Linked DNA regions of Neodiprion lecontei. The protein of the gene in region 1 interacts with the protein of each later gene in a pairwise test. Links are inferred from orthologs where the notes say so. Each region holds a gene or a part of one and is shown on either strand. Other genes may lie near its edges.

Region 1 (8,184 bases):
TGGAAAGGCAACAAGCTTCCTGACCTAAATAAATAAACACATCAATTAAGAACAGTAAAATTAAGCAACGATTAGTAGAAGTATAAAACTTTGAATCCCTATGGTCATCAAAATCTACTAACCTTTTTCCAGTCACTCGGTGATTTAAGGAAATTTCGTACTTGGTAAGATTCGTCATTTCTTTCATGGGATGACGAATGGTCATTCAATCTCAATTAGAGCACCTCTGTCGTACAATTCTCATGCTCAGGTTAATTCATATATTGCCTAAAAATTATATACGTATGTTAGTAGATTTTCTTGGACATGCTATTGAGTGATCGTTACCTAATAAGTTTCTAAACGAGCATCAGTAATTTGAGATAAACATCACTAGACTAAAAATAGAATTCGAATCTGAAATTGGGTTCAAAAATATTATAGACAAAACAGGACGGAATGACACCTACCAAAAGGGGGACAACCAGCTAACGAATTCCACCAGTAATATTTTCAGCGGGAAATATCAGCTGCGACTTTCCCCTAACCTAAGTTACCAATGAGTAATAAAAAGAAATAAAAGCAATAAACAGATTTTCTCGGGCATCAGTTCAGCCACAGAGTGTCCAATGTATCCCATACAAGTTATCAGTACCAAAAATTGATCGAAATGAATCCTTCAACGAAGACCTTTGCAATCAGCATGTTCACCACGATTCGGGTGAAGAAGGTTCACTTTTAACGTCACATAGCTCACTGTTAGCTACAAACAAGGGGTCGATTTCCTCAGAGGGAGGAAGTGGTTCGACTTTCACTCCAGGCATTTGGATGTCTGTTGTGGAAAACGGTTCGCTTTCATCAATGAACAGTGGTTCGACTTTCAAAATCAGCAGTTCAGGCTCGACAGCGATTTCCATCTTTTCCTCATCTTCAGACTTATGGGGTTCTTTCTTTTTTCTACCGCCTTTCCGACGCTCGTACGGCCCCATCTTAGTTTGTTGGAGAACCCTTCGCGCCGTAGACTTGGCGACACCAATTTCTTCAGCGATGTGAGAGATGGGTTTGCTCGGGTCTTCGACGACTTTGAGACAGATGTCCAGCTTCACTTCATCCTTTAGTCGCTTCAATGGCTGGATCACTTTTACTAATTTTCCATTGAGGTTACCCGTCTCGCGAAATTTTTTTATCACGTTTCTCACCGTTGTCGAAGACGGTATCGGCCTGCTAGGATACGTTGCCGCAAAATGATCCGTAATGCTCCTGTAGCTCAATCCCTGCTCACGCTGCAACACCATCTGTATTTTTTCGGCTAACGAGTACACGTAATTCGGCATTTTTATTCTTTCATTGATATGTCAAAACGTCAACGTGTGGATCAACAATTATCGAGATAACTTTGTGTCCGGAAGAATTCGCGATACTGCCCTTATACGAGTACCGACTACATCTGGAGATAACCGGTCCAACGTCGGTCTAACAACAACTGGAGCTAAGTCTGTGGCTCAAACCTACAATTCTGTCCGCTAAAGACGCTGCGCTGTGCGGTGATAATTTGGCGCGTCTTTTGAACGACAAAGCTTTGACGGCTGGAGGTCTTCGGTCAACGGCTCAAGTATTGACTGAAGAATGTACAAAACTTCAACCAATTTTCATGAGCTAGGGTTCATTTTCTTCGTTAATTAATTTCCGACAAGGTAATGGTGTCAGATTTTCTGTTACGACTCTAATTTATTCTGAAAAAAGCATGATTAGTAAAATCGTTGTTGTTACTTGTCAGGGTTAACTGAAGAATATATCTTTAGTCAACGTTGCCAGACAGTGACGTTAATGTTATCACTTGCGTCGACGGAAGAATTTATTTTCATCAACGACATTTATTATGAATAGTAAAATTGGAAAATGCGCACACGCACAGAACAAGTCTGAATTTACCTGAATTATTCGCATTAATAATCAAACTATCGAGTAACCATATTATTGTACCTGCTATTCGCGGTTTTCAACTTTCGTCCTATTTGCGGGGATATCGTTCCAACTAAATTCAAATTACTGAAATTCCTCAGCTGCTCGATAGTTTCATAACATTTATGTCACGACGGCTATTTTTTCAGTTTACCTCGTTACCGACTGAGGCTGCAATTTTCTACCTTATCGTCGAGGGGAGGACAATCGGTACGGCACGTCTGCCGGCACGTCTGTAATCACCCTTTCTGCGTCTCTCTCTTGACGTCGTGTATAGTGGGGGGAGCTTTTACACGAGGTGGTCTTCTGTCGTGAGTGGTGTTACCCAAGTTGAGGATATTTAGAGCATTATTTTTGCAACGTCAGTTGTGATTTTAATGCATTTCTCTTGATAATCGAACGATCCAAGGTACGTGTTCAGACGAATATTCCCAAGAATTCAATGTTCGAGTTTCACCCGAATGAAAACTGTAAATCCGAGAAAACAAATTGGGAACCTCATACATCTATTGTTTGCATGTATATTCTCCTCGTTTGTTGTTCTACGGTATCAGAAACGTCATTGTTCCCAATCATAATCTGAATAATAATGTTTTATCTATTCTTGCAATAATTAGGACCGCAAGAAATAAACGGTCTCCACAATTTGCCCACTGTACACTCAGAGCCTTGACGAAATTTCGTAATTTTTTTCGTCTCCATTCCCTCTCTCACTCCAACTCTCTTAACGTATTTATAACCCCGATTCATCCTTATATTCGAGAAAAGAACAATCATCTATTCAGCTTGAACAACATCGACACTGTTCCATCAATTCATGCAAGCATCGGTAAAACCAAATTGATCGCTAATAAAAATTCACCATCCTAAATCCCCCATGTCGAACATACTTTTGCCCTGAAGAGTATTTTTTCTCAATCATATTTCGCTTGAAAGTTATTTGTCAAACTTGTCCCTTATAACCAAACAGTACGTTAACAAGTTTGCCATTTTTTCATCCTGATTTTGTATATACCATGCATTTTTGGGATCAAAAGATGCAGCGATACTTATTTTCAATACCACGCAGATGTCGGGCGAAGAATATGAGAGCGACATGGATTACACGGATTCGGATTGCGGCGATCCAGGATACGACGATTATTACAATAATCAGCAATGGGGCAGCGAGGCAGACAACGACATTGATTCAGAGCAGAACAAAAAAGATCCGGAATATGCGATTCACGAGTGCCTCAAAGTCGAAGAGGTAGAAAGACTTTTAAATGAGAATGTCGAAGAACTGAGTAATAGATTACAGATCACGCCATCCCTAGCCAAAGTATTGTTGCATGCCCATGAGTGGGCGCTTCAAGATATTATCCTCAAGTATCGCAACGACGCCTCCGGTCTTTTGGTTACTTCCAAAATCAAATCCTCCCATGAACCGGACAGCAGCATAGCCCTCAGAGGTGCAAGGACTGGAACATGTTTGGTTTGTGTTAATACTTTGTCCCTGGAAAGATTCGCCGCTCTAACATGCGGCCATACCTTCTGCAAGGACTGCTGGTGTATGCATTTCGAAGTTCAAATTATACAAGGCATTTCAACCGGTACGTTCGTCAACTTTTCATAGGTTTCATTACAGACACAACAAGATCCATTACTACTCGTTCATACAATCGTACTATCGTATTATTGTTTCATTTTCTCTAGGAATTGGTTGCATGGCTCAGGACTGCGAAGTACTTGTGCCAGAAGATTTTGTCCTATCTCTCCTTACCAAATTGACAATGAGAGAAAGATATCAGCAGTTTGTCTTCCGTGATTACGTCAAGTCTCATCCGCAGCTTCGCTTTTGTCCAGGACCGAATTGCCAGATAGTCGTACGCTCCAAAGAATTGAGAGCCAAAAAAGTCATCTGTTCCTCTTGTAAAACACCATTTTGGTAACTGCGATTATTGATTGCTTAAGAAAACGTTTTTTTATTCTCTGGCAAATTTGGTATTCATTTCTTGTGGGATTTCAAATCTGTTTATCTTTCTTGTCCAAACATTTCCAGCTTCAGGTGTGGTATGGATTATCATGCACCAACCGACTGCGGTACGATAAAGAAATGGCTTACTAAATGTGCAGATGACTCAGAGACTGCAAATTACATATGCGCTCACACCAAAGATGTAAGTGAACTGAAATGCTGGCTAATTGTGTGGGTAAAAAAAACGCCTGCCCTTATTTAAGTGACTCGTATATTATGAAGTAGACCAACACATTCGTAATCGATTTCAGTGTCCAAAGTGCCACATTTGCATAGAAAAAAACGGCGGGTGCAATCATATGCAATGTTACAATTGCAAACACGATTTTTGCTGGATGTGCCTGGGTGATTGGAAGGCACATGGCAGCGAATACTACGAATGTTCACGGTATAAGGAAAATCCTAATATTTCTCGTGAAAGTGTCCATGCACAAGCTCGGGAAGCCCTGAAAAAATATCTACATTATTATGAAAGGGTAAATAAATAAATACTTATCATATAATATTCAACTCAGGCGAAAGGTTGTGGTAAACTGTTTTACTTTACATCTGAGCGTGAAATCCTGTAAATTGCTCGTTTTTAATCGACCGAAATCTTATTACAGTGGGAAAATCACAGCAAGTCGCTCAAGCTGGAAGAGCAAACACTGGAAACAATAAAATCTCGCATCCACAAGAAAGTAATGCATGCCAGTGGAACATGGATTGATTGGCAACACTTGTTTGAAGCTGCTTCTCTTTTGGCCCGCTGTAGGTATACGCTCCAGTACACATATCCATATGCTTATTTCATGGAGGCAGGACCGCGAAAAGTACTGGTAAGTAAACATAGAAATTCTTCATTTGTCCATTGAAAATCAAGTCTAAACGTTCATTTCTGATATGTGTGCCAGATAAATTAGATGTCGCGCTCAAACTGCAGAAGTTTTTTTTCTTTATAGAAAATTCAACAGTCTCCTTATCTTTATTTAACTTATAAAAGTTAGAGAATTTTTTTGTCATTCGTTTTTCAATAAAAGAGAAAGCGAATGTTTTATTCTATTCTGTAACTATGTTTTTTTCATGCAGTTCGAGTATCAGCAAGCGCAATTGGAAGCAGAGATAGAGAATCTATCTTGGAAAATTGAGCGTGCAGAAACAACGGATCGTGGTGATCTTGAGAATCAGAAGGACATAGCCGAGAAACGGCGTGTAACTTTGCTCAAGGATTTTTTAGAGGTCTGATCCGCGTCTGAATCAGATCGCGGTTTATTATCTTCCGATTAAGACATAATTTTCAATTATGTCCGATAAATCATAACCAGGTTCAAAAACTGGCAATAGAGTCCCCTCTGCTCTTCACGGCAAAGTAGGTGGGTAAAAGAGTAGAACTGAAAGAGAGAATTAATGAATTACTGATGAAGAAAACTAAAGAACCTAGTGATCTCTGCAAAAATACTAAAACACAATTATCGTACAGTTATTTGAAATTTAACGTTTTTATTAGATTGTGCTGCGTTTCTCAATGCAAATTTCCATTATCATACAGGTCATTCGTACTTTTAGCTAATTATTTTTAATCTCCCGAAACATGGTAAACATTCAACAATAAAATAACCTCGAAAATATTTCTGAGAGAATAAAATAACCGAATAAAAAATGGAACATCAGCTATTTCATGCGAAATTTGATTTAACGGTTTGCAAAAATTATTCCATTTACATTTGGCTGTTGCAAAAAGAATACTACACTACACAAGAAAAAAAAGAAAAGAAAATGAATAAGTCAGAATTTGATTAATCATAATTGAAACGAAAACAAAGTAATAAGGCCGAGAATAAGATATTGTAACCAGCGAAAAATTACATAGTTAGCATATTTCAGATTATTCAGACCGTCGTGGTTGTTGTAACGATCGTGATAAAATGAATTTTAGTAATTGAAATTAAGTTGTGCAAAACATTTAAGAAAGTTTGATTCGAGTTTTTGAATACGAATCGTGAGTTATCGTTTGTTGAATATATGTAAGCAAGTAAAACGACATCAAACGGTACAATGATACATGGATATTTATTTTTCATATCAAATAATTAACTCTGTATCTTCGCACAATATTTCCTTCCGAATAAAATATCAGACATTTGACAAAAATGTCTTACACGTAACGAGGCAATTTGTTTTGATCATATACTAGTTAAACCGTTTGATATAGATTTACTTATGTGTTAAATTGTTTTATACTAATTAGTGATTACAAGTTGTATTGCCTGTTTAATGATTATATCATTTTTGTTTCTGAAATTTTTTTTCCCCATTATTACCATTATTATTATTATTATTATTATTGTTGTTATTATCGTTAAGTACAGTTTGTAATGTTTTTTCGTTTCTCTCATCAGTTAGTTACATAATTGTTTCAACACAAAACGATTCAGAAAATCCGAACAATTACTGACTCTCAATAAATGGACACTGATCATAGTAATTATTTCAATTTTAATTTAACACAAACAAATTGTACTCTTGTAAAATTTGAAGAAAAAAGAAAAAAACGTGAAACTTTGATTCTTATGAACGTATGTATGAATATTATGTATATTTTTTCTGGTCTAATCATTTTTTATTTATGTTTCTTATTTATACGAACCAGTACAATTATTAATAATATTCAAACGTACAGCAAATTATTGTCTGCTTAAAGCTCGTTATATGAAATGCAGTAACATCCAAGCCAGGGATTATATTGTAAAGAAAGTCGTTCTGAGTCTATGGGCAGTGAAGCAATAATTCATTTTTATTACTGTTTCATGAAAGAAAAAAATCGCAACGATAAAGTCAGCTAAATGTGAGAATTTGCAAATAAACTTTATGTATTTTTTTGGCGGACGCGTGCGTGCGTAGTTTATCTTGCAATAATCGTCCAGGTCAGTAACAAGATAGAAAAATGGAAATGAGAATATGAATTATAGGCAATCGGTACTCCTGTATAATTGTATAATAAATGAATTTTGGCTTTTGGTTTTTTATTTTATTTTTTTTTTTTTTATCTGTTCCGATAAAGATGTTACGAATTTTCAAACTTATACGACTTAATTCTTGGACTTGGTCACAGCAAGTATATCGTTAATAGCGATTAAGTAAAGTGGTTGGGTGATTTTTATTACCGATCATAATTGTTATATTAATGAAACATAAAATAACGAGTACCTTAAATGAGAAGAATAAAAGAAATGAGCAAAATAGAGAGGGTTGATAAAGAAAGGAATCTAAGATAATTTCAGAAAACTTTGAAAATTAGAGTAACTGTACTGTAAATATTATTAGATTAGTGTACGATTATAATGTGCGCGAAAGATTGTGTGTGACGTTTTCTATGATTACGTGTAAGATTTTAGGGAATTAATAAACATTGTAATTTGTAATTAACGCTTCAATCTACGAAGCTCAAGCATAATTTAATATATTTCTGGTATTCCAACGATAATTATTAGTTTAAGATTAATTATGGTCCACAAGTTTATCGCAAGAAATAAGAAATTTAGGAAAAAATAAAATATCATTGTAATATTTTACGTGGAAATAAATTCGATCCTCGTTATATATGTACGTACGAATTAGTCATTTTATTTCATTGCTTATAATATTCGTCTACTTAAATCAAAAATACTAGTCTAATTTATCCCCCTCCTCTCAATGTCTAGAAATAATCGAATCATAGTTCAGAGCCAATGCCGAAACACTTGATGAACAAAAACACACATAAATGGATTTTAAAGATAAAATTTTCCCAGCCCAACAGTTTAATCTGCAGATACAACAAAAGTGGTTGAACTCGCTTTCATCGCTTCTACCTGAATTATAATTTCCAGCAAAATAGAACAAAAGTATAAAAAAAGGTTTTGTTTATTAATTAAAATTTACACACTATAGTGTATCATTGATAAATTTTGCAATATTTATTATTTAACGCAGATGATAATGTACAATAATTCCTGCAGTCTAATGTGTTGAAAAATCATGATTTTTTTTTTTTTTTTTACTCTTGCACAATTATTCTCAAATTTACAAATACGCGATAAATATTTGTGCACATTTTATTTTGATATATTTAATGTAAATAATAATAAAATTGCATCAAGTTCGTTTATGTAATGTATACCTATATTGAAGTACTTGAACGTACATACGTACAACGTTTTGGAGAAACGTATAGATTATGAAATATGAGAATACTTGTTTTAATTCCG
Region 2 (5,035 bases), on another chromosome or scaffold:
GGAGGTCTTTGGTTCACCGATAACTAATCTGAAGTTAGATTTCCAAAATTGTAATGTGCGATGTAATATGGGATCTGAGGTCTCAGTAGCGTAAATCGTTAATCACGAATTTGAATTTACAGTTCGAATTTCGAATGTGATGTTATTATTTTTTTTTTTTTTTTGTGAATTTGGAACCATGATGGGACCTGCAGTATAGAAACGGGAAGTTCGAGGGCTGGTTTATAGCCACCCTAAACCGCTTGTTTTGCCTGCACTCCTTTTATGAGCTATGATTACTTACTTTTATTGCCGCGTTCAACGTGCTTCCTCGCATGCTTAAAATGCAGATCAATTCTTCGTATGATAAAAATCATTTGGCCGAAATAAAATGAGATGAAAATCTTTTTAAATGTTGTACGTGAATTGATACTATACCGAAATTCGTTTCTGACGTTTCGAATTAAAAAAAAAAGCATTCAAACTAATATGAGAAATTATAGTATAATTGTTTTTGTAGAACTCAAAATTCTCGAAAGCTCTATCACAGCATCAGACTGATATTGATATCATCGAGCATTTCTTTCTACATTTTTTTCTCCCATCTTAAAACCTTGAGAGTAGACAAATTTCACATTTTTATTGTACTGGACAGGTGAAGTAGAAAAATAAATTTCTGAAATATTATAAATCTCAATAATTTCAATAGAAGATTGTTCATGTGCTCTACAACTTTCCTTTGAAATTTTTTTCAATTTTATGTTCAGATTTTAAGTTATAAGCTAAAAATGTTTTTCCACTCTTTTTAATTTTTTTTCGGTACCCTAAGTGCTGCAACCCTGATACTTCGGAACATATTGTTTTGTGATTGTCAAACACGGCTTACCCCAAAAAATCAGCTTTCTAGTTCGGAAGGCCGATTTCAGAAACATTTTGACTGGACTAATTTTGTACGTTTACTTTCTTTAAATCATACAAAAAATTTCAACGTTAATTCTAGGTGCAAATGTGACTGTAAAAAAACAAGTCGAAGTTTCATACTAGTGTGTAAGGTGTCACGAATCGGCATAATTGAATAATTACTCTAATGTTGTAAACGATTTAATTATATAAATAATATTACATTATCACATATAAGTCTATTATGCATGTGCATACAGTTTTACAAAATACAATATTGGCGTCCGTACTGCATTATTGATTGCAACGGTAATGCAGCTGTTATAAGAATGTCCTTATGTAGATTATAATGTTAATATTAACAAATAAAAAATTTAGTTTATATTTTATAACAGGCATGTATTGATTCCATTCATGAGCTTATTAGTAACCATGATTTTGTAGCGAATAAACCCCATAGTAAAAGTAAAACCGAACGCAGTTATCCCGCAGCTCCTGTAAGGTCATGCAAATCATACGATTTGAACTTAGCTACGAGGGTTTCAACGACTACCAGCAAGACAAGGTAAAATATTACTATATTCAAATTCAATAACATTTGTGTACGGAAACTGGAGGCAAACTTCAATCGACGAATGTTGAATAAATTATAATAGAATAACTGATATGCAATATGAAACATTCTCGGGTTCGCACAAAACGAAAATGAAAATACAATTTGCAAATGATGCGAAGAGCGAAGCGAGATCTTCTATCTGGTATTGATAATTAGTGAAAAGTGATTTCTGTGGTAGGATCACACGTTCCGTGCCATGACGTCCTTGAGATAAATTCTCAGCGCGCATTGCAGAGAATTCTGGGCCATTCACTGCCAACTACAGCGGGAGTCTTGCGTTCTGAAAAGGTTCCGAACCAACGTTTCTTGAACGGACGACTTCCGCCCAGTTTAGTGAAATTTGTTATATTCAAAATGGCAGCCACACGGAGGCTGCAGAAGGTAATTTGACATTTTTCAACAATTTCATTCCATAGTACTTATATATGATTAGAATTAATGATTATAACCTGAAAAGACACATAGGACGGGAACGTAACGTTGTGTTGGAGTTATTTTTTATTTCCCGTTGACAAATGTCAAAAATTTTTGAGTGACCAATTTAGCATTTACAATTTTTCTTATCAGCGGGAAACGTTATGAATTGATTAATTATTGAATCCGACAATCATTCGAAGTTTTTCAAATTATTATTCTTAATTAAGTTTACCTGCGTTATGAATCATTCTTACTAGGATTACCACTTAAGTGTTTCGTTTTTTTCCTCTACCACCATTGTCACGTTTTAACTGTTCTTTTTTTTCGCAGGAACTAAGTGACTTGAGGGCGTCAGCCATGAAAAATTTTACCAACATCCAAGTCGACGAAGCTAATATTCTTACTTGGCAAGGTCTTATCTTACCGGTATGTTATATTTGTAATTAGTTTCAAACATAACCTAACTTACCTGCTCCAAATCCGCTCTGTATGCTTCTGTGTATTCACGCAGAGGTATTCATGCATATATGTATATATACACATGTATAAGTATGTGCATGTTTCTATGAACTTTCCAGATTCACCTTACATGCATGCATGATTCATCAGTGGTATTTGTGTATTTGAACAAGCACAAGCATGCTCCGATATTATAGGATTAAATGAAGGTCGTAATTGTGTCATCATTTTAACATCAAAATATCAGTTTATTAGGAGGCTTCATTGAATTGTACTTCCTTTACATGCATGAGGAATTCCTTGATGATTATTCATATACATCAACCAATGATCGTTGAACTGGTAACAGACCTCACACTCGATTCAAAACATATACCAATCTGTTTTTGTTTAGTATTGAAGTTGAATTAAAGCACCAATGAAGTAATGGGTTCGTTTTATTAAAATTTGGTTAAAAACTTTGTGTGGAGCAAATCAGTTCCCTGAAATTTGAGAACTTAAGCAAGAACTGAAATTTTTCATGTAGTAGTAGGTACAAGTTACTGCCAATAGTAAATTTTGCTTGTGTTTTGATTCAGTTGTAATTGTTTACACGACCAGAGAAACAAAAAAAATATGAAATCTAATTTTTTCATGAACTGTAATATATTTCATCGGAAATAAAAAATTTTATGTCAAACTGCTAATAAAATCACTTGAAAGATGATCAAAAATATTGTATTTTTTACAGACAGTTGTTGAAATTCAAATATTTCTTCCCGATGAATTGCTGAAATTGCATGTCCGTTAATATGAATTCCACTCTAGTAATTTGAAATTTTAACCATGTCGATGAACTTGTTACACTTACATAAGAATCTTGAATTTTACGTTGTTTTTGGGAAACCAATGTGAGAACAAAATTGGAAGAAAATGCTTTGATGCAATTGAAAATGTATCAGTATTTTATAGTTTTTAAACAATGTTAATTATAACTATTCTAGTTGTCAGATGATTAAATTTAATCTACCAATAAAATTTCAGGATGATCCTCCGTACAACAAAGGTGCCTTCCGTATCGAAATAAATTTTCCAGCAGAATATCCATTTAAACCACCAAGAATAAACTTCAAAACAAAAATATACCACCCCAACATTGATGAAAAGGGTCAGGTGTGTTTGGCAATCATCAGTGCTGAAAATTGGAAGCCTGCCACAAAAACCGATCAAGGTAAAGTGGTTGTAATATTCAACAGTAATAGTTATCTCAATATTCTTGATCAACAATCATGTTCCACGAATCGAATTATCAGTATTCTTGTAAAAATCAATTGTTTACATTATTCATACGTTCACCTTTAATTAAGAAAGTCATTCCGGCATATTTTTATTTATTCATTCTTAATAACATATTTCTTGATGATGTTAGTAACCACTTTAAAATGTCTGATACAACAAATAGCCCAAGAAAATGAATAACCGACATAACTTTTTCGACACTTTTTTGTTATACCTTCATCTCTAGTGATTCAAGCATTGATCGCATTGGTAAATGATCCTGAACCTGAGCATCCACTGAGAGCAGATTTAGCAGAAGAATTTTTGAAAGATAGAAGAAAGTTTTTCAAGAATGCAGAGGAGTTTACAAAAAAACATGCAGAGAAGAGGCGAGAATCGGCTTCAGCAGAATAACATCGATTAGCCTAACTCACCGAGATGCCTGTTTGTCCGCCCGCCTCATGACCTAATTGGTACCCTGACTTGACTCAGAGAAAACCAGGATGTTGCTAGCTTCAGGGCTGAAATCCCATCGTACAGTATTGGTTAATTGATTTAAAAGAGAATCAGAGTAAAAGAAGAAAAATTGAAGAAAAAGAAATGAAAATCATAATAATTATTCATAAGATGGAGAACTTTTAATAATATTATAAATTATAATAATAAATATTGTATATCATTCAATAGAAGCCATCAAGGGCGGTTTTGGTAGCCATTGATGTCAATACCCGATTTTCCGTTATTGTTACTAATTCATAATAGGGATCAAATGATCGCGACAATACAATGGTAAGACCACTTTCAAGAAGAAGCCTTTTGGAAACGTACACTGACATCATATCACACATAATTGATAGTTCGTTACTATTTTTATTTTTTACTCACGAGCTTGTGGTCGGGAATAGTGTGTATTATACAAGACTTAAACAGCTGTGTATTATGAGTAACTTTGTGCCAAATTTGTCAAGAATGTGCTTTCAGAGCTGCTTGATTGGTTATCAGTCAGAGAAATGATTCGATATCTAGAGAAGTAAGCGTATTGGTCCTTTACTTTCTAATTTAAAGTTGCAGTTAATTGGCTTGAGGTTGCAATAGGACTATGCTCAAACGCCATTTGGTGAGAGGTTGAAGAGAGCACTTGTTGCTTATTTATCAAAGATTGGAAATCTGTTTCAGTTTTCATCGAATGCTATATTTTCATTTATTGTCTCGACTTCTATTTGCAACTACGTGGAGTAAATAGTATGATGACAAAATAAATGAATCTATGAAATGTTTCAGAGCCAAATGATGTGATTGTCTAAATAATTGAGAGCAAAAATGATTGAAAATGCATATGACAATTTGTTACGTAACAGAGAATGAATTTCACCACATAAAAGTCTCATGAATCATTTCAAGCAGTAA

The links.
Region 2: the proteins of potential E3 ubiquitin-protein ligase ariadne-2 (region 1) and ubiquitin-conjugating enzyme E2 L3 interact in a two-hybrid assay, tested with the Drosophila melanogaster proteins (2 studies listed by BioGRID). The link is inferred for Neodiprion lecontei from reciprocal best matches to the Drosophila melanogaster genes ari-2 and Ubc10.

What each region holds. Positions count from the first base shown.
Region 1 is NC_060264.1:31,209,931-31,218,114, reverse strand, and holds potential E3 ubiquitin-protein ligase ariadne-2, read left to right. Parts: upstream 1-2,190; 5' UTR 2,191-2,350; intron 2,351-3,010; coding exon 3,011-3,533; intron 3,534-3,636; coding exon 3,637-3,868; intron 3,869-3,982; coding exon 3,983-4,100; intron 4,101-4,209; coding exon 4,210-4,434; intron 4,435-4,563; coding exon 4,564-4,776; intron 4,777-5,026; coding exon 5,027-5,182; 3' UTR 5,183-7,676; downstream 7,677-8,184.
Region 2 is NC_060262.1:33,679,373-33,684,407, reverse strand, and holds ubiquitin-conjugating enzyme E2 L3, read left to right. Parts: upstream 1-1,718; 5' UTR 1,719-1,849; coding exon 1,850-1,876; intron 1,877-2,242; coding exon 2,243-2,338; intron 2,339-3,394; coding exon 3,395-3,581; intron 3,582-3,875; coding exon 3,876-4,042; 3' UTR 4,043-4,360; downstream 4,361-5,035.